Callithrix jacchus: one gene and its partners. Each later gene encodes a partner of the first gene's protein in a complex. Links are inferred from orthologs where the notes say so. Each region holds a gene or a part of one and is shown in the gene's direction. Other genes may lie near its edges.

Evidence for each region.
Region 2: MBTD1 (region 1) and RUVBL2 share a complex: the UniProt entries of both Homo sapiens proteins name them as parts of the nuA4 histone acetyltransferase complex. The link is inferred for Callithrix jacchus from reciprocal best matches to the Homo sapiens genes MBTD1 and RUVBL2.
Region 3: MBTD1 (region 1) and MORF4L2 share a complex: the UniProt entries of both Homo sapiens proteins name them as parts of the nuA4 histone acetyltransferase complex. The link is inferred for Callithrix jacchus from reciprocal best matches to the Homo sapiens genes MBTD1 and MORF4L2.
Region 4: MBTD1 (region 1) and MEAF6 share a complex: the UniProt entries of both Homo sapiens proteins name them as parts of the nuA4 histone acetyltransferase complex. The link is inferred for Callithrix jacchus from reciprocal best matches to the Homo sapiens genes MBTD1 and MEAF6.
Region 5: MBTD1 (region 1) and KAT5 share a complex: the UniProt entries of both Homo sapiens proteins name them as parts of the nuA4 histone acetyltransferase complex. The link is inferred for Callithrix jacchus from reciprocal best matches to the Homo sapiens genes MBTD1 and KAT5.
Region 6: MBTD1 (region 1) and ING3 share a complex: the UniProt entries of both Homo sapiens proteins name them as parts of the nuA4 histone acetyltransferase complex. The link is inferred for Callithrix jacchus from reciprocal best matches to the Homo sapiens genes MBTD1 and ING3.
Region 7: MBTD1 (region 1) and BRD8 share a complex: the UniProt entries of both Homo sapiens proteins name them as parts of the nuA4 histone acetyltransferase complex. The link is inferred for Callithrix jacchus from reciprocal best matches to the Homo sapiens genes MBTD1 and BRD8.

What each region holds. Positions count from the first base shown.
Region 1 is NC_133506.1:115,118,095-115,122,334, forward strand, and holds the start of MBTD1 (MBT domain-containing protein 1), read left to right. Parts: upstream 1-1,440; 5' UTR 1,441-1,466; coding exon of another isoform or gene 1,467-1,808; 5' UTR 1,809-2,135; coding exon 2,136-2,273; intron 2,274-2,319; exon of another isoform or gene 2,320-2,536; coding exon of another isoform or gene 2,537-2,557; intron 2,558-2,789; exon of another isoform or gene 2,790-3,031; intron 3,032-3,191; exon of another isoform or gene 3,192-3,255; intron 3,256-4,240. Other genes in the region: UTP18 (U3 small nucleolar RNA-associated protein 18 homolog), read right to left, coding at 1,467-1,808. UniProt on the Homo sapiens protein: Chromatin reader component of the NuA4 histone acetyltransferase complex, a multiprotein complex involved in transcriptional activation of select genes principally by acetylation of nucleosomal histones H4 and H2A.
Region 2 is NC_133523.1:42,837,434-42,840,933, forward strand, and holds part of RUVBL2 (ruvB-like 2), read left to right. Parts: intron 1-2,829; 5' UTR 2,830-2,944; coding exon 2,945-3,091; intron 3,092-3,500. UniProt on the Homo sapiens protein: Possesses single-stranded DNA-stimulated ATPase and ATP-dependent DNA helicase (5' to 3') activity; hexamerization is thought to be critical for ATP hydrolysis and adjacent subunits in the ring-like structure contribute to the ATPase activity.
Region 3 is NC_133524.1:99,740,774-99,744,846, reverse strand, and holds the start of MORF4L2 (mortality factor 4-like protein 2), read left to right. Parts: upstream 1-1,273; 5' UTR 1,274-1,329; intron 1,330-2,644; exon of another isoform or gene 2,645-2,713; intron 2,714-4,073. UniProt on the Homo sapiens protein: Component of the NuA4 histone acetyltransferase complex which is involved in transcriptional activation of select genes principally by acetylation of nucleosomal histone H4 and H2A.
Region 4 is NC_133508.1:74,052,070-74,055,569, reverse strand, and holds part of MEAF6 (chromatin modification-related protein MEAF6), read left to right. Parts: intron 1-114; coding exon 115-307; intron 308-3,500.
Region 5 is NC_133511.1:122,803,526-122,807,692, forward strand, and holds the start of KAT5 (histone acetyltransferase KAT5), read left to right. Parts: upstream 1-1,367; 5' UTR 1,368-1,386; coding exon 1,387-1,564; intron 1,565-1,891; coding exon 1,892-1,960; intron 1,961-2,049; coding exon 2,050-2,186; intron 2,187-2,450; coding exon 2,451-2,633; intron 2,634-2,722; coding exon 2,723-2,797; intron 2,798-2,906; coding exon 2,907-2,981; intron 2,982-3,937; coding exon 3,938-4,167. UniProt on the Homo sapiens protein: Catalytic subunit of the NuA4 histone acetyltransferase complex, a multiprotein complex involved in transcriptional activation of select genes principally by acetylation of nucleosomal histones H2A and H4.
Region 6 is NC_133512.1:126,163,523-126,167,813, reverse strand, and holds the start of ING3 (inhibitor of growth protein 3), read left to right. Parts: upstream 1-1,491; 5' UTR 1,492-1,609; coding exon 1,610-1,637; intron 1,638-1,877; coding exon 1,878-1,949; intron 1,950-4,025; coding exon 4,026-4,126; intron 4,127-4,291. UniProt on the Homo sapiens protein: Component of the NuA4 histone acetyltransferase (HAT) complex which is involved in transcriptional activation of select genes principally by acetylation of nucleosomal histones H4 and H2A.
Region 7 is NC_133503.1:36,584,037-36,588,038, reverse strand, and holds the start of BRD8 (bromodomain-containing protein 8), read left to right. Parts: upstream 1-1,202; 5' UTR 1,203-1,217; coding exon 1,218-1,236; intron 1,237-2,220; coding exon 2,221-2,317; intron 2,318-4,002. UniProt on the Homo sapiens protein: May act as a coactivator during transcriptional activation by hormone-activated nuclear receptors (NR). Isoform 2 stimulates transcriptional activation by AR/DHTR, ESR1/NR3A1, RXRA/NR2B1 and THRB/ERBA2.

The sequences.
Region 1 (4,240 bases):
CTGTGGTCCCAGCTACTTGGGAGGCTGAGGTAGGAGGATCAATTGAGCCTAGGAGGATGAAGCTGCCTTCTGAGCTTACTTTAAAGCGTTGTGCAGATATAATTATCTGTGACGAACAGGAAGAGCAACCAGTTACTATTAGCATAAGAGAGCTGGAAGACTAATTGGGGCTGCTGCACTCCAGTCTGGGTGACAGGGTGAGACTATATCATTAAATAACTAGTAAATACGTTTATAACATCAAATCTAAATTATAAAATTATGAATTTATACCATAAAGTTATACTATCAAATCTAAACCTAGACCACAGAACATCCCTTGAAGTGAGCTTGAGCTTCCCAAAACCACGATAGAAATGTCCAAGTGATTTCTACTTGCTCTACTACCAGTCTACGTGCCTTCAAACCCAACAGCGCCCACCTCAGTACACTGGTCCTTTTCCAGACGACAAAGCTGTCACAGTTCAGCATTTTTCCAGTGGTAGTTCTCTACTTCCCAAATAGATGGCTGCCACTTCTCCCACAAGCACCCAAAGGAGGCTCTGATAAGCAGCTGACATTAGCTAGGTCAGCATTCGTGTAATAAACATGGACTGGGTAATTCTCAGTGAGCTTTCCTCGGCCCCCGCCATCTAAAATTTAACAGGCCTCCTCTACACAAGCTCATCCTGCTTTCCCGAATGTCCTTTTTTCTCTTCAGCACTTGTCACCAACAAACCTGAAGTTTACTCATTTATTTCATCTATCTTGTCTCTGCCACTAGCATACAAGCTCCAAAAGGGCAGGGTTTTTGGCAGTTTCGTCCATTGCTGTGTCTCCTCCAGTGCCTCGAACAATGTCTGGGATTCTATCTCTCAAGAAAAGCCAGATATAGAACTAAAGGAATGGCAAAATGTGTGCAAAAAGTAAGATCAATCACGCAGCGTTTGCCATTGCCAGATTGGGTATCTGGCAACAAACAGGTTCACCAATATTTTGCTAAATGGACGAATACACGATCAGTCTCAAAAGACGGTGTGTCTCATTGTCACATGGGGAAGATAGTTAAAACCCAGATAGATGCCCAGGCCCGTGCCAACTAACTGATTCCATTAGCCAAATGGAATTTCTGAATCACAAGGAATTGAGGCAGGTGATCAAACGACCAGGCTCAGTTTGGGGAGAGACTAGAGGAGCGGAGCAGCAGCGAAAGATGCTCAAGACCACAGTTCGCAAAGCGGATACCCGAAGAGCGGCGCCTCCGGGGGCGGAGAAAGGCGCGGTCCCCGCCCTCCAGAGACTTTCAGTCCAGCGCTGGGAGGCGAGGGACCCGCAGCTGCGACCCTCGGCACCCGCGTTCTCGGGCTCCCTCCCACCTGAGCGCTCCCCGCCGGCGCAGGTCGCCCAGGCTCCGCCCCCCGGAGCTTCACCGCCCACCGCGCGCCCCGCCCCAGCGCGCCCAGACCGCGCGCCGCGGCCTCCCTCACCCGCCGGCCTCGCAGACGCCGCAGCAGCTCGTCCTCGTCGTCCTCGACTTCGCCGAAGACCAGCTCCTCCAGGCACCGCTCCACGGCCGGTTTGTCCTCCTCCAGCGTCAGACGGTTCCGCTGCCGAAGCCGTCTCTCCTCCTCGGCCGCCGCGACTGCGATTGCAGCGGCGGCCGCGCTCGGCCGAGCCGGCGGTTTCCGCTGGGATGAACGGGCAGCCTTTTGGGGCGGCCCGCCCGGTCCGGCTCTCGCTTTCCAATCTGGCCTCGTTCCGGGCTTCCGCTTCGGCTTTGCTCCTGTTCTCCGATCCAGTTTCATTCGTTTCCTCCGTTCCGGCGGCATCCTTGGGTTTGAGGAGAAACGCAGGCGCTCACGTGGAACCTCGCTGCGCATGCGCCCAGGCGACTCTCTGTCCGCCGCCGCCGGAGCCCCGGGGGCTGGAAGGAGCCTGCGCAGCCCCTTGCCACGTGACCAACACTCCCTCCCTCTACGTAACTCCCGCTCCCCTAGCCGGCCCCGCCCCGTGTGGGAGTTCCTCCGGGAGGTCCAATCTTCCGGGTGTAGAGGGAAGCGGCGTGACTGGAGTGGAAAATTTTTCCAACACAACTTCGCAGCTGCAACATATTGAAAGGAGCTCAAGAAAGCCCAATTATACACTGGGACGACTGAATGAAACTTCTACTTTTCCTCCTGACTTTAATCACTGGACTTGACACAAGCCTCGATAAGCTTTCCACCCTTCGTCTTGGTACGGTCCGTGGAGTACGGAGCCTGCCGAGGGTCCCACGCTGGAAGCGAGAGAGGAGGGTATGTAGGGAAGTGGGCCAATCGGGGCGCGGGTCACGGCGCAGGCGCGCTGGGGAGGGAGGGCTATGCTAATGTTGTTGATATCCTGGGGCCACCCGAGTTAAAGGGGGGAAATCCGGGGGCTGCCGCAGCCGCCACCGGTCTGGACCCAGCCGGGGGCCCCCTGTATCGCCGCAGTCCCGGGGAGAGGCACCTGCCCCCAGCCCTGGGAGGGGGCGCCGCGGGCTCGGGGAGCACGGACAACCCCTACCCATGAGGCCCTGATGGAAAACACAAAGGATCTGGTGAGAGCCGAGCGCGGCAGCCGCTTTGTGTGCCAGGTCGGGGGGACGCCTGCAGCTCCCCGACCCCAGGAACCCCGCAGCTCCCTGACCCCGCTCCCTGGCCTGCTTCTCCATCCCACGCCCCCTCAACCTCTGGAGTCCCCCTCCCCCTTCCAGCCGTTAAACGATTCAGGGGTTCCCCTCCCCCCACCCCCTCAGCCCCGGACTCGTTGGGGTTCTCTCCATTTCCTCCACCCTCTGGAAGAAAATTTTGAGAAGAAAGTTTTTCTCTGTGTCCCGCCCCCGTCCCCGTCCCCTGCTCTGGCTAGGGGAGAAAGGCTGGATCTGAGACTTTTCCTTTTTTAGCCACCCTGGGTGGGAGAGTGTAGTAGTCCTCACTTCTTTGGAAGGAGGGCGAGCATAGTTTTGGTGCTTTGCAGGGGAAGGTGTCTATCCGCCTTGGGGCCAGTGCCGCGAGGCAATTTGCACGTGGAGGTGGAAATATTGAAAGGGGGCGGGGTGGGCACGTGCGGGAGAGGTGGGAGTGGTGTTTGGGAATCAGCCTCCAAGGCTGCGTATTTAAAAGGGTTCCCAGTCAGTGGGCTTCTATGATTATTGCGTTCTCCTTTGTGAAATAAGAATCCTAACATTTCAGAGTCGGAAGAGACATTAGAGGTCATCCAAAGCAGCCGTTCCCTCTGCAGCCTCTCTGACAAGTGGTAGGTAGCCTGGCCCCTGCTTAAACCCCTAAAAGCACTGAGCGCTCACTACTGCCCGGGAAAGCCCATTTTTCAGTAGTTCTAATTGTTGTTTGCCTACCCTTGTTAGACCCTTCAGTCTCATTCATGTCCTGGTTAAGTTGCTCCTTTTTTTACTTCTCAAATTTTCTCTCACATCCTCCTCACCCACCCACTGCTCATTGGCCTATATTTTGTGTGCCAGGAAAGAACAGCAGGGAAGTGGAGGAAGAGGGGGGCTGAGAGATAGTGAGGGCCAGCCGAAAACTTTGCAGGGTCAGTGTCAAATGTGCTGGCTTACATGCCTAAAGATGATATTTTTCTACAGGAAGCTAGAGAATTAGAATATGGGAATTTCGTGTCTGTTTTCTCTCACTAGTGCATCTTTTTGAAGTTAGAAATTTCAACATTATCTCCGTAGTTCTTGTATCACAAAGCACATTTGCTTGTTTCCTAAATCACTTCTAAGGATGTCTAAAATTGCCTGTTAAGGATAGTACTGAAGCATCACCTGGTAGAGGGGATGATTAGAAGAACTACCGCCTCCACTCATTTGACCTGTGTTCCTTGGAAGCTGGTCTTTCCTCCAAGGGCCCCTCTTCCAAATGCTTTTACTCTTCGTTTTTTTTCAACTCTCTCTATTATGAGATTTGAAATTTATGGACCATTTTAATACTTGTTTAGAGTTTACAGTATTTCAATTCTCCTTTCCTTATACTCACATGCACCAGTATTTATCAGTGGGTGGTTGAGACAGTTCCGTTGAAACTATTGTCACTGGACGTTTTTCTAACATACTTCTTCATTTGATGAGCCATGCTGCCTCCAAAAGTAGTTGTGTTGGCTTAAGAATCTTGGATGTACTTGTTTCTCTCTAATATAGTCAAGTGGGGGTCAAGACATAATAGATACGGTGTAGAAATAATGCCTCTGATCTAAAAGCCAGCAAATAAATTACACCTTAAGC
Region 2 (3,500 bases), on another chromosome or scaffold:
TGATCCTCCTGCCTCAGCCTCCCAGTAGCTGGGATTACAGGTGTGTGCCACCACTCCCAGCTGATTTATTTTTTATTTTTATTTATTTATGTTTTGTGAGACAGAGTCTTGCTCTTGCCCAGGCTGAAGTGTAGTGGTGTGATCTCAGCTCACTACAACCTCAGCCTCCCAGGTTTAAGCAATTCTCCTGCCTCAGCCTCCCAAGTAGCTGGGATTACAGGTGCCTGCCACCATACCCAGGTAATTTTTTTGTGTTTTTAGTATAGATGGGGTTTCACCATATTGGCCAGGCTGGTATTGAACTGCTGACCTCGTGATTTGCTTGCCTTTGTAGGGCTAAGGGCCCCACAGGGTCGTGAGGTGTCCCTTAATGCTGTGCTGAGGCACAGGATCCAAGAAAGAGACAGGACACGGAAGTGCAAAGAAAGCACAGCTGGGCTGGGAGTGGTGGCACACCACCTGTAAGCAGAGACAGGTGAGGCCTGAATGTCCAGAAGCGTCTGTATTTATTGAGTATAGGTTAGGGGGCAGGGTAGTGAGTGAAGTCATCTTTAAGGATAGTGATAGGGTCGTGAGCAATAAACAAGGGGTCCACCCCTATTAGGTCATTGAGGCAAGGAGGCAGGCCTTGTGCAGTAAGGGGTCCACCCCCGTTAGGTCACCGAGTCATGGAGGTGGGCCGTGCGCAGCGAAGAGGGTGCAGTGTGCAATATCTCTTATCTATGAGAGTGTCTGTATGAGGATGCTTTAAGTAACACAGCAGTGACAAAGCTGTCAGGGTCTACCGCCACCTGCTGGCAGCTTCCAGTGAGTTCTATAGGAGGATGCTTTTGAGCCAGCACCATAGCAAGAGCTGATAAGTTCACAGTCACCAAGGTGGATTGCCCGTCTGAGGGCAGCCTTCCACAAGAACTGGAGCAAGGTCCTACAACTCCTTTATCAGGAGGAGTGGCTCTCGCCCCAAGCCTGCCATACAGCAGGTATCTTTACGATACTGAACGCTGCTGCCTGGGCCATGGATTCTTGTCCTGGCATAACTGTTTGTCCCTTAAATCATGCTCTGAACTGTGTCTGCTCCAGACATTCCTCTGATTATAAGCTGCTTATTCCTTAATTAATGCTCTGTACTGTGTCCACTCTAGGCATTCCTCTATGAACTAAGGTATAATCATATACATATAGGGAAATAACTGAGTGGTAAGATATTCTTTAGGCACGCATTCTATGAACTAATGTATGATTATATATAAAGGATTGTGCGAAAGGGAATAACTGAGCAGTAACACTGTAGACTGAGATATTCTTCAGGCACTAATTGTGCCAGGATTCTGCTTAGCTCCCCTCCCTCGGCGCCTATGTAGAGGGTTACCCACAGCCTTGACCTCCCGGAGTGCTGGGATTACAGGCATGAGCCACTGCGCCTGGCCAATTTTTGTGTTTTTTGTATTTTTAGTAGAGATGGGATTCACTATGTTGGCCAGGCTGGTCTCGAACCCCTGACTTCAAGTGATCTGCCCGCCTCAGCATCCCAAAGTGCTGGTATTACAGGCAGGAGCCACTATGCCCAGCCTCTTGTTTTTTTCTTAATAGCTTTATTGAGATACAATGCACATACTATATAATTCACCCATTTAAAATGTACAGCTCAGCATTTTGTAGTATATTCACAGAGTTGTGCAGCCATTGTCACAATTTTAGATCATTGCCTTCACCCCAAAAAGAAACCCCATACCTCCTACCTGTCACCTCTAATCCTCCCATACCCTCCTGTCTTCAGTTCTAGGCAGCCCTGGTCTTTCTCTGTATATGGATTTGCCTGTTGTGGCTACTTCGTGTAGATGGACTCATACAGTATGTGTCTTTCACGTGTGGGCTTCTTTCCTGTAGCTGTTATTTGTGTCCAATGGTACCGAGTGTTAAACACATTGAATAAGGAGTCTTCCAAGCAGGCTTTGTGTGGGTGTGGGCGACAAGGCCATCTTATTTCTCACTTGGGTGCAAGCAGGCCGAATCCGAGAAAGGACAAGGGTGGGAATTGATTTGATAGGTTGGGGCAATTTTTTGCGGGGGGTGGGGATGTTGCAGAGTAAGATCAGTTAAGTGGCGGGGGGTAGGGGCAAGGCGTATACATTACGATAAGTTCAGTTACAATGGCAGGTGGTAAGGCAGAAGAGTAGTTAAGATGGCAGGGTGGGGTGAGAGGCTTGTCCTGGGGAAGCTCCGCTGGGTGATTGGGGCTGGTGGGGGACGACAGTCAGCCGAGGCAGGACTTCAGACTTTCTGGGTCCAGGCTTGCACATGGAGACCTGACGTTCCTGTCCTTTTATATAGACAGAGAAAGAGAGAAGAGGGGGTGATGACAGGTTTCGGGGGGTGAGGGCTAAGTGTCTCAAGGCTACTTTGTGCGTGATGGGACCGCACGGACACCTAAAAATTTTTTTTTTAGTGGAGGAGACAGAGTAGAAGTGGGAACAGGACAGGGACGAAAATAGGAAAGGTCTGGACACGACGTTTGGCCTCACACATGCTTCAGCTGCTGGGGAACTTTGAGGCCCCGCGCGGTATTGTGGGGTTGTCCAGAGCAGCAGGTGCCGATTTGTGATCGCCTGGATGCGGTTTCGGATGAATTGGGAGGGTAAGCGGAAGACACAGGGTCCGAACAGATGGGTGTTAAAGAAGTAGGGATCGGAGGGAGCCGGGACCTCCAGTTAGAGAATGGCCAGGCAGGTTCGGCGGAGGTGTTTGCCTGGTCAGCAAACTTCTGAGTTTTTTGATATGATCATACACTAGGCCAGATTGCTTTAAGTAAAAACAACATTCTTCGTTTAGAAACATAGAGTCCTCCTTTTTCTGCGGTAAGTCGAGGCCACGATGGTTTTGGAGATCAGCTGCAGCCAGAGTCAATTTGAGCCTGAAGGGCAGACAACGTATTAGCTAATTGGTAATGTGGGCAGAGAAATCAGCAGACAGACTGCGGAATGCTGTGACGGAGGAGGTGAGCCCTGCCGTGCCAGTTCCAAGGCCTACCGAGGAGGCTGCAAGCCCTGTTCCCACGAGGAATGGAGTTAGCTGCATAGCTCTTTCTCGTCGGGTAGGTGTCATGAGGGGGACAGGCAGGTGTTCGTTACCAGTGGCAAATTGGATCTTAGGAATAAGGAAGACTAAGGGACAGGTGCCTGTCCAGTTAGTGGCAAACACATACAGTTAGAGGAGCCACCTGGGAAGAAAAGGCCTGGAGCGACGCAGAATTGAAAACACAGGGTGAGGCCGGGCGCGGTGGCTCACGCCTGTAATCCCAGCACTTTGGGAGGCCAAGGTGGGTGGATCATGAGGTCAAGAGATCGAGACCATCCTGGTCAACATGGTGAAACCCCCTCTCTACTAAAAATACAAAAAATTAGCTGGGCACAATGGCGCATGCCTGTAATTCCAGCTACTCAGGAGGCTGAGGCAGGAGAATTGCCTGAACCCAGAAGGTGGAGATTGTGGTGAGCCGAGAT
Region 3 (4,073 bases), on another chromosome or scaffold:
GAGGCAGGTAAAGTTCAAATCCTGGTTCCCATACTTGTTGTGTGCACTAAGAAAATAATTTGACATCTCTATACATTAGTTTTTAATCTGTAAAATACGACTGATAATATGGAGGGTGTCTGAAAACATATATTGTATATCATTTATTATTTTGCTTTACATTCTGTAGCACCCTCTAGTGGTGTGTACAAAAATATGCATTGCATTTCTACTCTCCAAAGCAGTGGTTCTCAAACTTCAGTGTGTGCTGGAATCACTGGGATAGTTTGTTAATAACACAGATTATCAAACCCCACCCTGAGAACTTCTGATTCATTATGTTTGGGGTCGGACCTGATAATGTGAATTTCTGACAACTTTTCAGGTTATACTGATGTTTCTGGTACATCCAGAAAACATACCTTGGGAACCACTGCTCTAAAAAAATCCTCCCTGTGTGTGTATACAAGTATATATGATAGATAACTGAAAGGGATATGATTTTTGTTATTTGACTTTGATCTAGTAGTGCTCATCTAATAAGGACTTGGTGATGAATTTTTTAAAAATCGACGTGAAGGATATAACATAGCATCTAAAATACAGAAAGCATACAAAAAACTGAGGGTCACAAAACATAAATCATTTGCCCAGCGTACTGAGGTGATGGAATGTGGTCTACAATTAGGTCTCTTACTCCAAAGACACAATAAAGTTTACCAAAAACACTACAGAAAATAGGGTGTAAACACACATATCTGATACAAATTTCAAGAGAAAAGGAAAATCAGTTTTCAATACCAGGGTCCAAGTTTTACTGATGAGTTCTTACCTATCTTTACTGACTGAACAGCTATCTGTATTTTCAGTTTGGGTGAATTGTGAGCATTTGAAAAGGTGAGGAAAAAGGGTTAGCATATTCAACATCAGTGCTTGGGTCATTCATTAACTCTGATTAAACAAGGCAAGGACAAAAGAAGAGAGTGCTGGAGAGGGACCTTTTTTTTTTTCCAAGGAGAAAAGGAAAGAAAGAAGCAAAATTATTTGGACCTTGGATCATAGTCCCCTGCCTACTTGTGTTATTTACAGAAGTTGATTTTATTTTTCCCTAGGAATGAACGACAGCCATGATCCTCATAGATTGTAGTGTTCAGCAAATCAGAAGGGGAGTGGGGAGAACAAAACCCCATAATCCCAGGGACCAAACAGCCAATCCTTTGCTGGGATTTGGCGGCATCTAGTGGGAGACTCGAGAGGTATAACCCTAACCCACAGAACTTTCTGGAAAATTAACAGTGCGCATTTGCCTGAAGAAGGGCAGTGTGCGTGCTTGGAAATCAGGACGCAAAGGTAAGAGCGCCTCAATCCCCACAAAAATTCGGAGTCCCTAATGAAGGGGAATGCTGTCGTATAGACATTCCCATAGGAAAATTGTATTTGTGCCAAGAAAACTGCATGCAGCCTTGGAGGGAGGGGGGGAGGTTTGGAGGAGGGGAGGAAGGAGGATACTAGAGAACTTGAAAGAAGCCTCTCTTTGCAGTTGCTAATGTGGCGATGGAAGGGTTTGGCTCTTAAACCACTGGAGGGCTGTGGTTTACAGTGGGATTCTGGCAGAAAGGAAAACGTAGGGAGTGTATTTTTTTAAGTCTTTAATTAAATCAGTAGAGAAAGCCAAAATATTTCTGACAAAGCCCCTTTTATCTCTGTTATTGTCGCCTTGCCTTAATTATTTTCCTTTTCATTAGAACATTTTCAAACAATACAGAAATAGATAACAACCTGCGCGCCGTAGCTAACCCCTCCCCTCACCGCCCCCCAACACCAGCAGACACGCGCGCCCGCGCGCCCGAGTGCCGGTGCGCGCTGTGGCTCTCACCAGCCCGACGCCCGGGGCGCACGCCTGCGCACACACATTACCTCCCGCGCCACGAGGGCCGGTGCGCGCTCCCAGAGCAACCCCAGGGCCCCACGCGAGCCTTCCCGCGCACTGACACACTGGCCTTAATGCCTTGCGCCCGCGGCACTCGGGACCCTCACTCGCAAACACAGCAGAACCCCCATTGCGTCTTTTTTTTTCATGTTCGGAGAGTTGCGCCACAGGTCTGGGGGCGTGGCCCCAGATATGACCTCTCGCTTCCCCACTCGCGGGAACCTTAGCTCATTTCCGCCTATCCTATTTCCGCAGGCCACGTAGACACTTCCTCTCCCAGTGAAGGAGGGGGGAAACACAAACCCATAATGCCTCCCTGCAGAAAAAAAAAAGAAAAGAAAAATTAAAAAAAAAAAACCTTCTGGTCAGAGGAACTCTGGGTCGTGAAATAGGCCACGTGAACATTCTGCCCTATAGACTTATGACCCAACGGCTGTCACGCTTTTGGAGGGCGGGCTAAAAACCTAAGAGGGCGAACGTCATTGGCCGGAACTCGCACTAACGGAGGAAGGTGATTGGTTTGCTGTAGGCCTTAACAGTGAAGAAGCAGGTTGCTAGCACCCGCCTTTACTGCGGCTAAGTGTCATTGCTGACGTGGGGGTGGTTATCCAATCATTTGGTTATGGAACATTCTAAAACTTAGACAAGACGATTGTGATTGGCTGAAGAGCATACGCCCTCCTCCAGGGTGACGTGTCTGCCTATGGATATCAGTTGCCAGAGAAACCTGGCTTTACTATGGCGGTTGGAGGAACGGCAGTGATCACACGTCGGCTGCTGGGAAGATCTGGATTCTCGTTTCAGGTTTCGGGGTGGGGGTGGGGAGAAAGGGTCGATGATTTCCTCTTTTCGTCGGGTAGAGACGGGATTAGCTAGTGGCTTCACAATCGGTCAGAGCTGGATTCAAATTCCTGCTTGCCAACGCCCAGCTTGGGCAAGGCTCCTGTTCTTTCTGTGTCTCGGTTTCCATGTTTGTAAAATGGTGATAATAATAGTATCTACCTCAGCGACGTTTACTGTATAATAGTGCGTATAGAGCATGTAATATGAAGCCTGGCTCCTGAAGATATTATGTATTGTTATGGAGATAAATAATCTGCGTAATAGAATGAGAAAAATTATAAATTATGCAGATTCGCTAATTGTAGTGCCCTTTCTACCATCAACTTCTTTCGTAGAATAAAAGATAAAAGAGATATATCGATTTTTAACAATGAAATAATTTGCTATTTGAGAATTGCCTGAAAATAGCATAGATTGTAATTTTTCCATATTGAAAAGTTAAATAAAAGGTGTGGGGGGTGCGAGAAAGAAAGAGATGGAGAACGAGAGCGAGCTGGAGATGAACCACATGCGATGAGTAGGCCTTGTTTGGATCCTGAATCGAACATACCAACTGTAAAAATACGTTTAAGACGCATCGGGAAAATTGGAACACGGATTCGATATTTGATGTTTTTTAAGGAATTGATGTCAGTTTTTTTAGGCGTCACAGTAGTATTGTGGTTATGTTTTCAAATTGTCCTTTTTTTGTAGAGACATATGCAAAAATATTTACGGATTAAATAATGTAATGTCTGAGGTTGACTTCTAAATACATTAATGACTAGGTTTTGCTTCAAAATAATCTCAGCGGTGGGGGGAAATGGGGAGGGGTATAGATGAAAAAAAATTAGCCCTAAATTAATAATAATTTAAGCTGATTGATACGCAGTGAGTTCCTTATATTTATCTGCTTTCCTTGGTATACGTTTAAATTTTTCTGGAATAAAATACAAAAGCCAGATATTCCGGTGAGCTTGAAAAAGTCGGGGGTGCGGGGGAGCAGTGGGTGGGGTTATAGATGAAACAAGATGGCCTTCAGTTGGTAATTGTTGAAAGCTGGATGATGGATTCATGTAGGTTTATAATACTATTTCTTTTATCCATTTGAAATTATCTTTAAGGAAAAGTTTTTTTTAAATTTGTCAGAAATTATATAAATGTACAATAAATTAAATTTGAAAATGTAGCCACAAGAAAGGAAAAAGAAACACTTGTACATTATTTATCAGCTTTGGTGTCCTTTGTGTGTGATGAAATTGCATTGGCTGATGAAGAAGAAAGCCATATCTCATATCTTTTTATTTTATGTCCTTTCCTGTCCTTTTGTTTGACCTTCTAG
Region 4 (3,500 bases), on another chromosome or scaffold:
GATAAAGAGTGGTTTTTTTCTACCTACTAGTGTTCAAAAAATACTTCAGGTTGATGGACAGATTGCCTGAGGAGTACTGATGATGTGTTTGGAAACTTGTTTTATTTCCTCCAGGGGAGCCAGGAAGTGGGACAGAAAGTGACACTTCTCCAGACTTCCACAATCAGGAAAACGAACCTAGCCAGGAGGACCCTGAGGATCTGGATGGATCTGTGCAGGGAGTGAAACCTCAGAAGCCTGCTTCCTCTACTTCCTCAGGGAGTCACCACAGCAGCCATAAAAAGCGAAAGAATAAAAACCGGCACAGGTCAGTGGCAGGGATCCCACCCCCTGCAGCTTCCATGACCATTACTGTGAAGGGAATTGCCTAGAATAACAACGCTTTAGGATTGTTGCAGAGCCTTTCTGTTACTGATGGCAAGAAAGTCCTTTGGTCCAAGTGAATAGTCTAATTTGCTCAGAGAGAGGAATTGGTGGACATTAGAATAACCCTCAAGGAAGACTCCAGGATATCCTCACTGTTTCTAGTGCAGAATAGTTTTATTCCATAAAACCTTGTTTCATATGGTGAACATGGGATACTTTTAGAAGAGAAAAAGGAGAAATAGAAATGGGATCCGTGTAATAGTATTTGAAAAATGCCACTAGTACATAATGGGAAGCTGTAAAGTGGGATGAAGTCTTCTGCTGTTAATCCTGATTTTTGCCTACTTTTATTTTGTTGTGGATGGAGAGAATTGATTTCAACTGCCTTTTTTTCTCTTTAAATACAAGTTTTTTTATTGCTTGTGATTTTTCTGTTTCTGTATTTCTCAGCAACATGCTGACTTCAGATAATGGAAGAACAGTATAAAGCCTGTAAAATATGAGAGTGTCTTCGTAGGTAACATGTAACATCGGTGCACCGTGTTTTTTTTTTGCAGTACACATAATGTGATAGGAATGATGCCAATGGACAGAGAGGCCAGGTGTCACCCAGAGGGGGTTTCAGCATTCACTGTGCCTGGGGTTTGTATGATAATATGGGGGCTTGTTAACTCAGATAATTGGAAATTATGCAGCTTGACCCAAAGAGGATAATGTACAGTTTCTAAACTAAGGAATTTTGCTGGCCTCAAACCTGGGATACATGGAGACCCTATACATACCTGTTTTCATGCTTCCTAGAAGTTTTGAAGCAAGGGCAAGATTCCTCATTCTAGAAACTGTATTCTTTCCTCCTCTCCTGGAAGACTGCATGCAGAGCAGGTAAAAGGGGGCATGCAAGGAATGGGTGGCATTCCTGTCCTCCAGTGTGCTTCTGGATTTGCTTTACAAATCTGTAGCATATTCCTTCATGCACCCAATGCATTAAACTTGGCAGTACCTGGGGATAACGTAGAATTAACTCTGCCTGAACCTCCTTGGTTGGCATCAGCTGGATCTTCAATTCTTTTTTTTTTTCTTTTTTTATGCTCCTTTCTTTAAAGATCAAATTTTTCAGGATCTTCAATTCTTTTAAGAGTTTTTCTTGTTGATGGTAATAGTGTTTTTTAGACTGCAGAAATAGTATTCCTTCAAATAGTGAGTAAGGACTGCTGCTTAACATTTTTCTGCAAACCAGAAGTCTCCATCCTGATCACATAACTATACTAAAAAATAGCAAAAATTGCATATTCCTCTTTATATATTTTTGAAAGGCTGTAGGTTATTTGACCAACTGTAGTAAGACTGGTGCTAGCTTATCACGAATAGAAAAGAAACATACTCTTAAAATTTTATTTAATTGTCAAGATAATTAAATGTCATACTCTGCATTGTTCTGTTAAATTTATTCCAGTGTCAGTCAGTCAGTTGTTTGTTTGTTTGTTTATTTATTTATTTATTTCGAGACAAAGTCTCTTTCTGTCACCCAGGCCGGAGTGTGGTGGCACGATCTCAGCCCCCTGCAACCTCTGCCTCCTGGATTCAGATGATTCTTCTGCCTCAGCCTCCCGAGTAGCTGGGATTACAGGGATGCACCACTGTGCCTGGCTAAGTTTTGTGTTTTTAGTAGAGACAGGTTTCATGAACTCCTGATCTCAGGTGATCTGCCTGCCTCGGCCTCCCAAAGTGCTGGAATTATAGGTGTGAACCAGTGTACCTGGCCTAGTGTCATTTTAAAGTAATGATTATTTTCTTATTTCATAGTGTCTAGAGGAGGGAGGAAACTCTTTCAGAATTTCTGGGGCTTTTTCCATTATTGATTAATAGACTCTCTAGATAGCTGTTTATTTCAGGTCATTTTCATTAATGACATCATTACCTGTTGACTGATAAAAAGGAGTTAAAGAAGTGCTAAACTTCACTTTCTTCTTGCAAGTTTCTAGCATACTTAGTAGGAACAATACTACTTCCTATCCTTTCCTTGCAGTAGGAGCTATCTCCTTCCAGAAGAATAGTGGTGTTGTAAAGATCTTTGATATTAGTTACTGCTTCACAAATAGTGTTTTCTGTTTGGAAAGCAGAATCTTGCTTTTTATTGCTGTCCTTTTGTCTTCCCTCTGATTTAATATCTGGCTGATCTCCCTTGGCCTTAGGCACTCATCTGCCCCAAGAAAGGAGAGTGAAGCTGATTTTCTTCCTTTCTAGGGAAGCCAGATTCAGTGTGCCTGAATGGTACATGAGTGGCCATTTAAGGTTCTTAGACTCATGCCATCTTTAGTCAGGAACTGTGTCTGGTCCAAGCCCCTTACTATTGACCAGACCTCAGTGGGTCTGGCAGATTGGGGTAGGGGCAGAAAATGGTGTCTATGTACATTGCTAAGTTTGTACCCAGTACAGTACGTGTTTCTCTTCCAGTGTGCCATACCGCATATATGCACTTGAGCAAAAGGAAATAACTTTTGAATTTGCCCTCTTCAGGAATATGAATTTTTTTTTTTTTTGGGAACAAGATCTTGCTTTATTGCCCAGGCTGGAGTGCAGTGGTGAGATCATTAGGCTTACTGCAGCTTCAACCTCCCGGGCTCAAACAATTCTCCCACCTCAACCTCCCAAGTAGCTAGGAATATGAGCATGTGCCTGGCTAGTTTTTGTATTGTTTTTGAAGAGACAAGGTTTCACCATGTTACACAGGCCGGTCTTGAACTCCTGGGCTTGAGTGATCTTCCTGCCTTGGCCTCCCAAAGTGCTGGGATTACAGGCATGAACCACCACACCCCACTAGAATATAAAAATTTATCAAATAATTTTTAGCATCCATAAATGATGATATTGTTCTGAATTCTTATATTTTACGTGATACCTGAACAATAAGTCATTCCTGGTATCTTTACAGAAAAAGTTGAAATAATAGCATATAGTGGCCAGGTTTCTGTGGCTCATACCTGTAATTTCAGCACTTTGGGAGGCTGAGGTGGAAAGATCACCTCAGCCTAGGAGTTTGAAACCAACCTGGGCAACATGGTGAGACCCCCCCACTCTCTACAAAAAATACAGAAATTAGCTGGGCATGGTGATGTGCCTGTGGTCCCAGCTAC
Region 5 (4,167 bases), on another chromosome or scaffold:
GAACATAGGCAAGGGCCACTGCTACACCTGGCTAACTGAACATTTGTCTTGCTCTGTGGCTGAGGCTTGTCTGTAATTCCTGGGGTCAAGCAATCCTCCCGCCTCTGCCCCAAAGTGTTGGGATCACAGGCGTGAGCCACTGCACCAGACCTGAAGTCTTCATTTTGTTCACTGATGTATTCCAGGCTCTAGAATAGTGTCTGACACATGTTTTGGGTCCCTAAATATTTTTTGAATGTATGATGAGTATCACACATACTATCTTTATAATTATAAACCTAATATACAAAACAACGGCCGGGGCCGGGGCCCTAGAACTTTGGGAGGCTGAGGTGGGTAGCCTGCTTGAGCTCAGAAGTTTGAGACCAGCCTGGGCAGCATCTTTTTCTTTTTTTTGAGAAAGGGTCTCACTCTGTCACCCAGACTGGAGTGCAATGGCAGGATCTTGGCTCACTGCAACCTCTGCCTCCTGGGTTCAAGACATTCTCTTGCCTCAGCCTCCTGAGTAGCTGGGATAACTGGAGGACACCACCATATCCAGCTAACTTTTACATTTTTAGTAGAGATGGGGTTTTACCATGTTGGCCAGGCTGGTCTTGAACTCCTGACCTCAAGTAATCCCAGAATTTTGGGAGGCTAAGGCGGGCAGATCACGAGGTCAAAGGATTGAGAGCATCTTGGCCAACATGGAGAAACCCCGTCTCTACTAAAAATACAAAAATTAGTTGGGCATGGTGGTCCGCGCCTTTTGTCCCAACTACAGGGGAGGCTGAGGCAGGAAAATCGCTTGAACCCAGGGGGCAGAGGTTGCAGTGAGCCGACATCGCGCCACTGCTGCAGAGCGAGACTCCGTCTCAAAAAAAAAAAAAGCGTAGTATACAAAATAAAGCTAGGAATATTCCCTGAATCCTCCTGCCTATGGAATGAAGTCCACAGACTTGGAAGAGCGTTGAAGCCCCTCTAAAGCCACTCCCTTCCTCCAGCCTCTCGGCCCGTAGCTCAGCACTAGCAGTTCACTCCCGGCGATACCTCCCGCCGCCACGAGGAGACGCCCCAGCACCGCCCTCTGTCAAAGCCCAAACAATATTGCCACGTGACCCGCTCCGCATCCACGTGACCAGCGTCGCACGCGGTGGGCGTCAGGTGACGGGCTCAGTAGTTCTCCAATCGCTGTGCACGTTGTGGGGTTTCCACTTAGGGCTCGGTCTGAGGCTTGTAACACCACATTCTCCCCCAAGCCACAGGGGCAGTCTTGCCGCTGGCAGCTGGGTGGCGGTGTCTCTCAAAGGTCCTCTATAGGGGCTTCGTGAGGCCCAAGCCTACAGCACTCAGTTCCGGAAGTGACGTCTCCCAGAGGGGCCGGAAGTGGCAGTGGAGGGAGGGAAGATGGCGGAGGTGGTGAGTCCGGTGCCTGGGGCGGGGCGGAGGGAGCCAGGGGAGGTGGGTAGAGCCCGAGGCCCCCCAGTAGCCGACCCTGGCGCCGCGCTGTCTCCCCAGGGGGAGATAATCGAGGGCTGCCGCCTACCCGTGCTGCGGCGGAACCAGGACAACGAAGATGAGTGGCGTGAGTGACGTCGGGGGGCGGGGCTAAGGAACCTGAGGGCGAGGGGCGGGAGGGAGTCCACTGAACCCCCGGGATGGGGAGGGGCCTCTGGAATTATGGGGCGGGCGGGGCTCAGACACTCCGATGAAGGGGCGTGGCTCTTAGCTGCTATGAGAGGTACAGGGCGGGGTCTGGAAAGGGGTGGCACTTGTGACTGAAGGAGGCTTGGATGAGACCTTCCAAGTGCTGCAGCTTAGGGATCCGGCCTGGGGGTGGAGTTCAGGTCGTGGAAGGGTGGAGTCTCATGGCCTGGCCCGTCTAAGGTCCCTGCCTATGCTGTTCCCATAGCACTGGCCGAGATCCTGAGTGTGAAGGACATCAGTGGCCGGAAGCTTTTCTACGTCCATTACATTGATTGTGAGTTCTGGGCCTAAGGTGGGGCAGCAGGGTAGGGGGTTGGGGGGCAGTCTTTGGCATTCCTTCCTGAGCCATCCCCACTGCTACAGTCAACAAACGTCTGGATGAATGGGTGACGCACGAGCGGCTGGACCTAAAGAAGATCCAGTTCCCCAAGAAAGAGGCCAAGACCCCCACCAAGAACGGACTTCCTGGGTCCCGTCCCGGCTCTCCAGAGAGAGAGGTGGTGAGTAGGTCCCCCACTTCACCTCATCTCTCCTGCCTCCTATTTCTCTTATCTGTTGGCATTTAGGGGCTCCTGGATGGGCAGGAGGCGGCATCCTCTTACCCTGACTTCAGCTTGCAAAAGATGGGGGCCAAATTGCACATGTAGCTCCCAGAGTCCAGTAGTTAGTCCTGTGTCCTTCAGAAGGCAGAGGGTGGGGTTTGATAATTTTAAGCTGAGGGGCCCCTCTTCCCCTTCCCCATCCCACTGCCATCCCCGCCCCAGAGGAAGACCCTGGACCTATCTCTACAGCCGGCCTCGGCCCAGGCCAGCGGGAAGACCTTGCCAATCCCGGTCCAGATCACACTCCGCTTCAACCTGCCCAAGGAGCGGGAGGCCATTCCCGGTGGCGAGCCTGACCAGCCGCTCTCCTCCAGCTCCTGCCTGCAGCCCAACCACCGCTCAACGGTACCCTCAGCAATTCCAGGGACCTTGCTTTCTTCTCAGGTCCCACCTTCTCTACCCTCTGACCCACCTTTGTTGGTTTCTCTCTGCAGAAACGGAAGGTGGAGGTGGTTTCACCAGCAACTCCAGTGCCCAGTGAGACAGCCCCAGCTTCGGTTTTTCCCCAGGTGAGTTCCCCAAACCATTTCTTGTTCCTTTCCTCTCTTCTGCCCTCTGGTGGCCCTTTTCAAGCTCATCTCACAGTCATCCCTTCTTTTCCTGGTATCTCATCTGCAGAATGGAGCAGCACGTAGGGCAGTGGCAGCCCAGCCAGGACGGAAGCGAAAATCAAATTGTCTGGGCACTGATGAGGTGGGTCTGGGGAGCAGCAGAAGGGAGCTGCGTGAAAAGGAAGGGATGCAGGCAGGGTGGAGAGTTATTTAGTGATGAGTATAAAAATGAAGGGGTGGTGGACCTGGGCAGGGCTAGTGTTGGTAGGATTAGGAGCCAGGCAGAACATGGTTCAAATGAATCATTGGGGCTGGGCACCATGGTGCACACCTGTAATCCCAGCACTTTGGGAGGCCAAGGTGGGTGGATCACCTGAGGTCAGGAGTTTGAGACCAGCCTGGCCAACATGGCAAAACCTCATCTCTACTAAAAATAAAAAAATTGGTTGGGCACAGTGGCTGACACCTGTAATCCCAGCTCTTTGAGAGGCCAAGGTGGGTGGGTCATGAGGTCAAGAGATTGAGACCACCCTGTCCAACATGGTAGTGAAACATGGTGAAACCCCATCTCTACTAAAAGTAAAAAATCAGCTGGGCCTGGTGGCGCACGCCTGTAATCCCAGCTACTTGGGAGGCCGAGGCAGGAGAAACGTTTGAACCCCGGAGGTGGAGGTTGCAGTGAGCTGAGATTACACCACTGGTACTCCAGCCTGGGAAAAAAGTGAGCCTTTGTCTCAAAAAAAAAAAAAAATTAGCCAGACATAGTGGCAGGCACCCGTAATCCCAGCTACTCCGGAGGCTGAGGCCAGAGAATCTCTTGAAGCCCGGAGGTGAAGGTTGCAGCAAGCCAAGATTGCACCACTGCACCTCATCCTGGGCGACAGAGTGAGACTCCATCTCCAAAATGATCATTGGGTGATGTTTTCCACATCATCAGTCCCTTAGGGTTTCAGGTTTTACGTCTGGAAATTGGGGGTCATGGTACCTTCCCTATAGGGTTGCTGTTAGGCTTGAAGGAAACCTGTTGAGGGGGTGTGAGCTGTGGTGTCCTGCTGAGCTGTCTCGTCTAACCTGGTGTCTTCTACTCGCCCTGGGCAGGACTCCCAGGACAGCTCAGATGGAATACCATCGGCACCACGCATGACTGGCAGCCTGGTGTCTGACCGGAGCCACGACGACATCGTCACCCGGATGAAGAACATTGAGTGTATCGAGCTGGGCCGGCACCGCCTCAAGCCGTGGTACTTCTCCCCGTACCCACAGGAGCTCACTACATTGCCTGTCCTCTACCTGTGCGAGTTCTGCCTCAAGTACGGCCGTAGCCTCAA
Region 6 (4,291 bases), on another chromosome or scaffold:
TTTTTTTTTGAGACCGAGTTTCACTCTTGTTACCCAGGCTGGAGTGCAATGGCGCAATCTCAGCTCACCGCAACCTCCACCTCCTGGGTTCAGACAATTCTCCTGCCTCAGGCTCCTGAGTAGCTGGGATTACAGACATGCGCCACCATGCCCAGCTAATTTTTTGTATTTTTAGTAGAGACGGGGTTTCACCATGTTGACCAGGATGGTCTCGATCTCTGGACCTCGTGATCCACCCGCCTCGGCCTCCCAAAGTGCTGGGATTACAGGCTTGAGCCACCACACCTGGCCTAAAAAATCCTAATTCTTATTAGGATTGTAGTAAGGTTCCGTTGAGATTCATCATTGTTCTTCATTCGTAACAGGAAAATATCCTGCTTAAGAGCAGTAAAAACTTTTAGTATAAGAGTATTGTGATGAAGAAGGAAAGCAAGAAACACACACACACACACACAGCTTCAACTGCAATCTGAAAAACAGAAAATGAACAATAAATTATGAACTAATGACAATTGCTCCAGAAAACTGAAGAGTTAAGAGTGAAAAATAACAATACCTAATATTTATTAGGTGCAAGAGTTAATAAGTTAAAAAAAAAAAAAAAAAAAGCAAGGACGTACTAAATACATCATAGGAAAACATTTTCTGGGAGAGGTCGAAAAGTAGAAAAGAACGCCCAAGACAGCAAACCTCTACTATGGACTATCTACTAAACATAAAATTACTGCTATTTCAGCCTATTAGAAATCAAGGCTCCATCCGTTATTCACCATTGCTAACTATGATGATGATGATGATGATATCAGATTGTATATACTGATCAACTACATTAGAATGACAACTAGATGGACCGCAAACTAGAATATATAAGTGGTTATTGTCACTATCTGTGCGTCTTTTAATCTGGGAAATGCATATTCACTCCATAGTCTCATTATAAACTATTTTAAAATTACATGTAAGCCAACCAGATGTCTCTTTTATATTTCAGGAGTGAATAATGAGGATAAATTCCAGCAGAGAGTTCTATTTTAAGCAATCCAAATGCCCCGAACTTTGCTGATTCTTCTAGCGTTAGAACCTTTGCTATTTCCCTGGCACGTCTTGAAACTTATGACTCACAAATGCCGGGACATGAAATCACAGCAGAGAACAGGTGAAAAGTTGTTCCTAGTTGTATTATGCAGGCGCATACAATTCCCGCCATTCTCTGTGCAAAAATCAACAAATAAACAGAGGCACCGCATTTCGGATTCTGTTACGCACTGTTCGCAATGGCGCCTGGTGTTCGTAGTTTCTATGAGGGAAGCCGCCAGCGTGCCAACCCTTGCTCAGGAGGAAGAAAACTACATTTCCCACAAAGGAACACGGGCGAACACTGGCCGGCTTACGTCATTGCTTCAACCAACCAATAGCAGCTCCGGGCGGCAGTGAGGCAAGCGCCGTCAGGCGCCAAAGTGGTTTTTTTCTTTTTTTTTTTTTTTTTTTGCCGGAGTCGAGCGGGTGCTGCTAGCGGAGGCGCCATATTGGAAGGGACAAAACTCCGGCGACAGCGAGTGACACAAATAAACCCCTGGACCCCCTCGTTCCCTCAGCTCTAAGGGCCGCGATGTTGTACCTAGAAGACTATCTGGAAAGTGAGTGCGCGGCGCTGGCGGGGGCCGCCGGTGGGACCTGTGGGCGGGCGAGAGCGCGAGTGGACGGGCAGCGAGATGGCGGAGAGGGAGGGGGCGGCGGGGGATGTTTCTTTCTCACGGTAACTGGCAGCCTCGTTGTAGGCTGCCGGCCCCCTCGACCCCCCCGACGCACACGCGCAGTGACGTAAGCGCGTATTTCGCCGTTTGCCCCACCCCTCTGACGGACTCTCTTTTTGACAGTGATTGAACAGCTTCCAATGGATCTGCGGGACCGCTTCACGGAGATGCGCGAGATGGACCTGCAGGTGCAGAGTAAGCTGGCGCGTCTACTACTCTTCTTCGCTGCGCGCGTTCAGTGCCAGACTTGCTTGTCATTATTGCTAACACCTAATGCTCTTTCACTGTCCTCTGGCTCACTCCGCTAGTGCATAAGGAGTTGTCAGAAAGAACTAGCAGTCCTGAATCTCGCCTTCTCCTTCCCTCCTGTGCTACTTTTTTTCTGGCTTTTGCAAGAGGAGGAGGCATTGGGACCCGTGTATTCCTTTCTAGAATGTGGGATTGTGCAAAAAATATTTTTCTACCGTCATTGAGATAGTTACCTATGTTTCAATGGACGTCGGCATAAATGTTGAGATGTTGTCTTGATCCTTTTGTATCGAATTAAGATTTCAGCATTTATACTTATAAAGTTAATTCTATTCACAGTTTTTCAAGAGTAGAAAGCATAGAAGCGCAGGTTATATATAGCTCTTTAGAGACCCTGGCGAATGTCAAATTTTGAAAAGTTAGTTACACATTATAAGATACATTTTGAATTGTAACAGAATCATCATTTTCTTAGTTAAAATGAGTGACAGAAATAAGATTTCACTGTAAAGTTTCTTACGTAATGTACTAAAAAATGTGGCAGTTAATGAACGTTTCTTTTTCTTTCAGTGATAGCTTGGCAGTCCTGTGACTTTTTCCACAAATTAACCTTGCTCTTTCGTAGAGCAGGGGCAGTGAAAAGGACAGGTTCTTAGCTCAGGGACCACTTGCCTTAGCTAAGAACCTGTCCTTTTCACTGCCCCTGACTTCTCTGCGTATGACTACACCACTACTTATATACTGTTTGTTTATGAGTACATTTTTCTTGTAAGTTTCAGGAGGCACATAATAGAAAGTGGTAGCGTGGAAGCCACCTTCTGTTCAGTGGATTGTGGTATGAAGTATGAATTGTGTGTGTGGTTCTCCGGCTGTCTCACAAAATCCATTTTAAATTTAGTGTAGTTGAAATGCTAAAGATTTGCTGAAGTAGTGTTCTCTGCAGGATTGAGCTATCAGATAGATCTGAGTTTGTTTTAGGGCTTTACTAATTTACTCATTGACTTCGTATTACCACTTGTGAGGGACTTCCATTGTAAAAAGAGAATCAAATAAGGATTTAAAATATTATAGTTGGATTAGAATTTATAGCATCTGATACAAAGTAGGCATTAATGGACAATTTATTTTAAATTTAAATTATTTTATATTTTATTGTTTGAAATTTTAAATTATTTTGTAATTTGGGCTTATGTCATACATATTACAGGCTTTTTAAAAGTGCTTTTCTTTACAGTAACTAGAATTTTCTAAAGTTATATAGGAATTATGGATTAACAGAACAATGTGCTAAATAAATTCAGACATGCTTATTTAAACAAAGGAAGATGCCTCTAAAAAATTAACCATAGGACTTCATAGAGTCTTTAAAGGGCTAGTATGGACTGAAAAATCTCCAAAAGAAGTATATTATAAAACTATTTTTCTCAACTTAAGTGACAACAGAATGCTTTCTCCTCCACCCTTTTTTTTTTTTTTTAGCAGACATCCAATGAGATGATTAGTCTTGGCACATAATTTGGGGAAAACTTATCTAGAAATAATGTTTAAATGATTGTACCTATTGCTTTCAGTTGGCATATGACATGATGAGATATTTAATGCTATATACCAAATCTGTTTATCACTTTTCCTTGTTAAAAGAAATGTGAGGATTATCTAATGGTGTTTTAATTGTGTTTTGGTGCATTTGGCTGTTTAATACCTTTAGCTTTTGACCCCAATGCTGTATTGCTCAAAAATTATAGGATAGATCCAGTCTACTTTGTCGACTCTACTTAGGCTATTGGAAAAAGTTGTGAAATAAGAAAAACAAAAATAATCCATCAATAAGGAAAATTGTAACTCTTTAAAGGAAGGTAATTAAGGCATTACATATTTACATAATCAAAGAATAACATGTTTAAGTTACTGGCAGAGTGAAAGAAGGTGTATTGTTAGATTTTTTTTCCTCCCTAAATCAAACCATGTATATTTGATATATGAATTTGGTCATCTAAATATGATTTTTTTATTATGTCATAGATGCAATGGATCAACTAGAACAAAGAGTCAGTGAATTCTTTATGAATGCAAAGAAAAATAAACCTGAGTGGAGAGAAGAACAAATGGCTTCCATCAAAAAAGTATGTGCAACACTTTGGATAATTTAGGGAGTTGGGGAGAGATAGCATGGGAAGAAAACCAGATATAGGTGATGGGGAGGAAGGCAGCAAATCACACTGCCATGTGTGTACCTATGCAACAATCTTGCATGTTCTTCACATGTACCCCAAAACCTAAAATGCAAT
Region 7 (4,002 bases), on another chromosome or scaffold:
GAAGGAAGTTCACTTAATGAACAATTGGGAGAAGTTTGAGGTGGCATTTCTTTTCTTTTCTTTTCTTTTTTTTTTTTTTTTTTGAGATGGAGTTTCGCTTTTGTTACCCAGGCTGGAGTGCAATGGCGCGATCTCGGCTCACTACAATCTCCGCCTCCTGGGTGGCAATTCTCCTGCCTCAGCCTTCCCAGTAGCTGGGACTACAGGCGTGTGCCACCACGCCCAGCTAATTTTTTTGTTTTTAGTAGAGACCGGGTTTCACTGTGTTGGCCAGGATGGTCTCGATCTCCTGACCTAGCGATCCGCCCGCCTCTGCCTCCCAAAGGGCTGGGATTCAGGCTTGAGCCACTGTGCCCGGCCTTGGGGTGGAATTTCTGAGCACTCCGCAGAAATCTGGCCCCAAAAGCAGAAGGCCAAGCCTCAAGTAGGGCGCCTCGCCCGCCGGTGCTGTGCTGGTGGTGTCAGGGTCCCTCGGCTTCTTCTCTAACCTCACCGCAGGGCTCACGGTGAGAACAAAGATGCAGCATTAAGAGAAAGAGATGGCTGCAGCTCCGCCCTCTTAAAGCCTATTCTGCGCGGGCAAGAGCTGGTAACCCGGACTCCAGCCCAGCCGCACACTTACCCGAAGACGTGCCACTGGGTCCTCCTCCGGTACCAGCTCACTCACACCTGGTCTCCGAAGCGGACTGTCGCAGCCGGAGAGCACAACTCCGCCCTCGAGGGGCAGCTTTGTCACCGATACAATATTTTAAATTACGCGCTGCGTTCGTTCGGCCAATCAGATAGCGAAGCCTGTAGCTACCAATCCGCGTAAGGAAAAGGGGCGGACCTAACTGGAATTCCAGTCGTTTGCTTCCGCTTGACCGCTCAAATCAAATGTAGATCCGGGTTACCAACTGTCGCGATTTCGGAGTTATTTGGCAGGGGCTTCTTCCAACTTAACACTTTTCCTTGAATCCTAGACATTTCTTATCCAAGCAGCATAAAGAAAATCTTGAGGTTTCGGCCTCCAACCCTTGTCCTTCCTTAGCAACACTTTTAACATAAGTGCACAAGATAACTGGTTTAGCGTGTTTGCTTTGTCTTGGGGCGGCGGCGGGGGAACGACATTTCCCAGGAGGCACCGCGAACCAACGCTAGTACTCTATTTCCCAGAATTCCCGGCTTTCGGAGCTACCAGACTGTCTCTCCTCGGGGTTGGAGATTTCGGGGCCAAGATGGCGACGGGAACGGGCAGTGAGTATCTGAGCAGGTTTTGCGTGAAAGGCCTTTGTGGATTCGAGGCTAGGCACCATATTTTTGTTACACCACTAAGGAGTAGGAGAAGTGGTTTGCTTGAGAGCCCAAGGTTTTCAGAGACCTGCGCTCCACAGTATCGTGAATACCAACGTGTGGGGCCCCAGAAATCTGGGGACTTGTTTCTCAGGGAGGGAGCGGAGGTTTGAGAGAAGCAGCTTACTGAATCCGAGTGTGTTAGGAGCTCTGCGGGGTAACCGTAAAAGCAATCTAGAAACTTGGGCGTGCAGACTGAAAGATGTTGTGAGCCAGTCGGGTCGGAGTAACCGGCGTCTCAAAGAGCCATTCATTTTCTGACCTCCGTTTGTGAGGCAGAAGTCGGGTCTTTTAACAATGAGCTTTTCCTGCTACTGAGAAAATTGCGTCTCGGGCATTTCAGACATTTTTCTTTTCGTGGACTGAAAGTCTCCTAGGCCTGACGTGGGGAGAAGAGGAGCTGAGAGAAGTAAACAAGTTTATGCTAAGAGGGAGGCGGGGTAGTAGGAGGTTCTGGCCGCTCGGCTTCCTGGGAAATAAAGCCCTCGCGGTTAAACTGGAGGAATAAAGTCCAGTATTCTTAAAACTGGGCTTTTAGGGAGAACTGCGTAATCTGACATTCCCTATTTTTTTAATAAAGCAGAGCTTCAAGCCATGGCGTTTTAAGAAATAAAATGTTATACTGTAATTCGCATGCAACGAATAGGTACCACCTTCACTGTTGGTATTTCACTTGGAGAGGTGAAAATCGAGATTTGGTGATAGCAGTTCACTTTGTCCTAACAAGTCGAAATGTTTTTTATTAGCCTTTTAGACCTCCTTTTAGGGATTTCGGAGCGTAGCACTGCAGTCTCAGCGGTTGTTTCCAAGGTTTTGTTTTTTTTTTTCTCTCTCTCTCCTCTCTCTCCCCTCTTTCTCTCTCTCTCTCTCTCTTTCTCTTTCTCCCAGAACACAAGCTGCTGAGTACTGGCCCCACAGAGCCGTGGTCCATCCGAGAGAAGCTGTGTTTAGCATCTTCTGTCATGAGAAGTGGAGATCAAAACTGGTAAGGTACCTAGGATGTCAGCTCTCCTGGGTCTTAGAAATTGTTGCATATGCTTTCATGTTGGTAGCTTTCTGTAGTTAATCATATTAAGCTGTAAGTAGACTTTCTTTTCTTTTTTGAGACTAAGTCTCTGTCGCCCAGGCTGGAGTCCAGTGGCATGATCTCGGCTCACTGCAACCTCTGCCTCCTAGGTTTGAGTGATTCTTGTGCTTCAGCCTTCCAAATAGCTGGGATTACAGCTATGCGCCACCAAAAGTAGCCTGGCTAATTTTTGTATTTTTGGTAGAGATTTTGTATTTTTAGTAGGGTTTTGTCCAGACTGGTCTTGAACTCCTGGCATCAATTAATCCACCAGTCCTGGCTTCCCAAAGTGTGAGGATTGCAAGTATGAGCCACCATATTCAGCCAATTCTCTGTCTCTATAGATTTGCCTATTCTGGGTATTTCGTACAAATAGAATCATATGTGCTCTTCTGGACTTTATCACTTAACATAACACTTTTGAGGTTCATTCTTATATAGCATGTTTCAACACTTAATTCCTTTTGTAGCTGAATAATAGTCTGTTATACGAATATACCAAATTTTGTTTGTTCATCACTTGATAGACACTTGGGTTGTTTCCACTTTTTGGCCGTTGTGAATAATGCTGCTATGAACATTCATGTATAAGGTTATGGACAATGTTTTTAATTCTCTGGAGTTTTTTGTTCAAGTAGTGAAATTGCTGGGTTACGTAGTAACTCTATTATGTTTGACTTTTTGTTGTTGTTGTTCAAGATTGTGTCACTGACGCCCAGGCTGAAGTGCATTGGTGTGATCTTGGGTCACTGCAGTCTCTGCCTCCTAGGCTCAAGCGATCCTCCAGCCGCAGCCTCCTGAGTAGCTGGGACTACAGGCACATACCACCATGCCTGGCTATTTAAATTTTTATGTTTTTGTAGAGACAAGGTCCTGCTATGTTGCCCAGGCTAGTCTCAAACTCCTGGCCTCAAGTGATCCTCCCAGCTCAGCCTCCTGAGTAGCTAGGACTACAGACCTGTGCCACCATGCTTGGCTAATTTTTTTTGTTTTTTGTCACTTTGTTGCCCAGGCTGGTCTCGAACTCCTGGCTCAAGGGATCTTCCTACCTTAGCCTTCCAAAGTGCTAGGATTACAACCGTGAGCCATCACTCTGAGCCTGGAACTATCATTTTACCTTGCCCTTTATCAGCCCCCACCCCCTTTCTTTTGCATCATCCATTATGAATTTAACTGTCTTGCCACATTTATAGACAATTCAGTACTTTGCTGATTGTTATGTTTTCTAGCATTTTTTTGTCTCTTTAATCTAATTTTTGAAGTAATACATGGCCACCATAAAAACAAAAACACTATATAGTAAGAGCAACAGCAACAGAGAAATGGGTTAAAAACTTGAGTTTATTTTTCTCACACATAAAGTAAGTCTAGGCAGTCCACAACTCTCATAGCAACTTTACAGGGACATTAAGAAGTCAGAAACTACTCTTTCTGTTCCACCTTCCTCAGCACAGTTTATCTTCTGATTATCTTATGGTTCATGGTGGTTCCTTGAGCTTCAGCTATCACATCCTTGTTCCATGCAACAAGAAGGAACAGGGTTGGTAAGAAAGGTCACATCCCTTTTAACAACTTTTTTTGTGATATAATTGATTTGCAGTAAA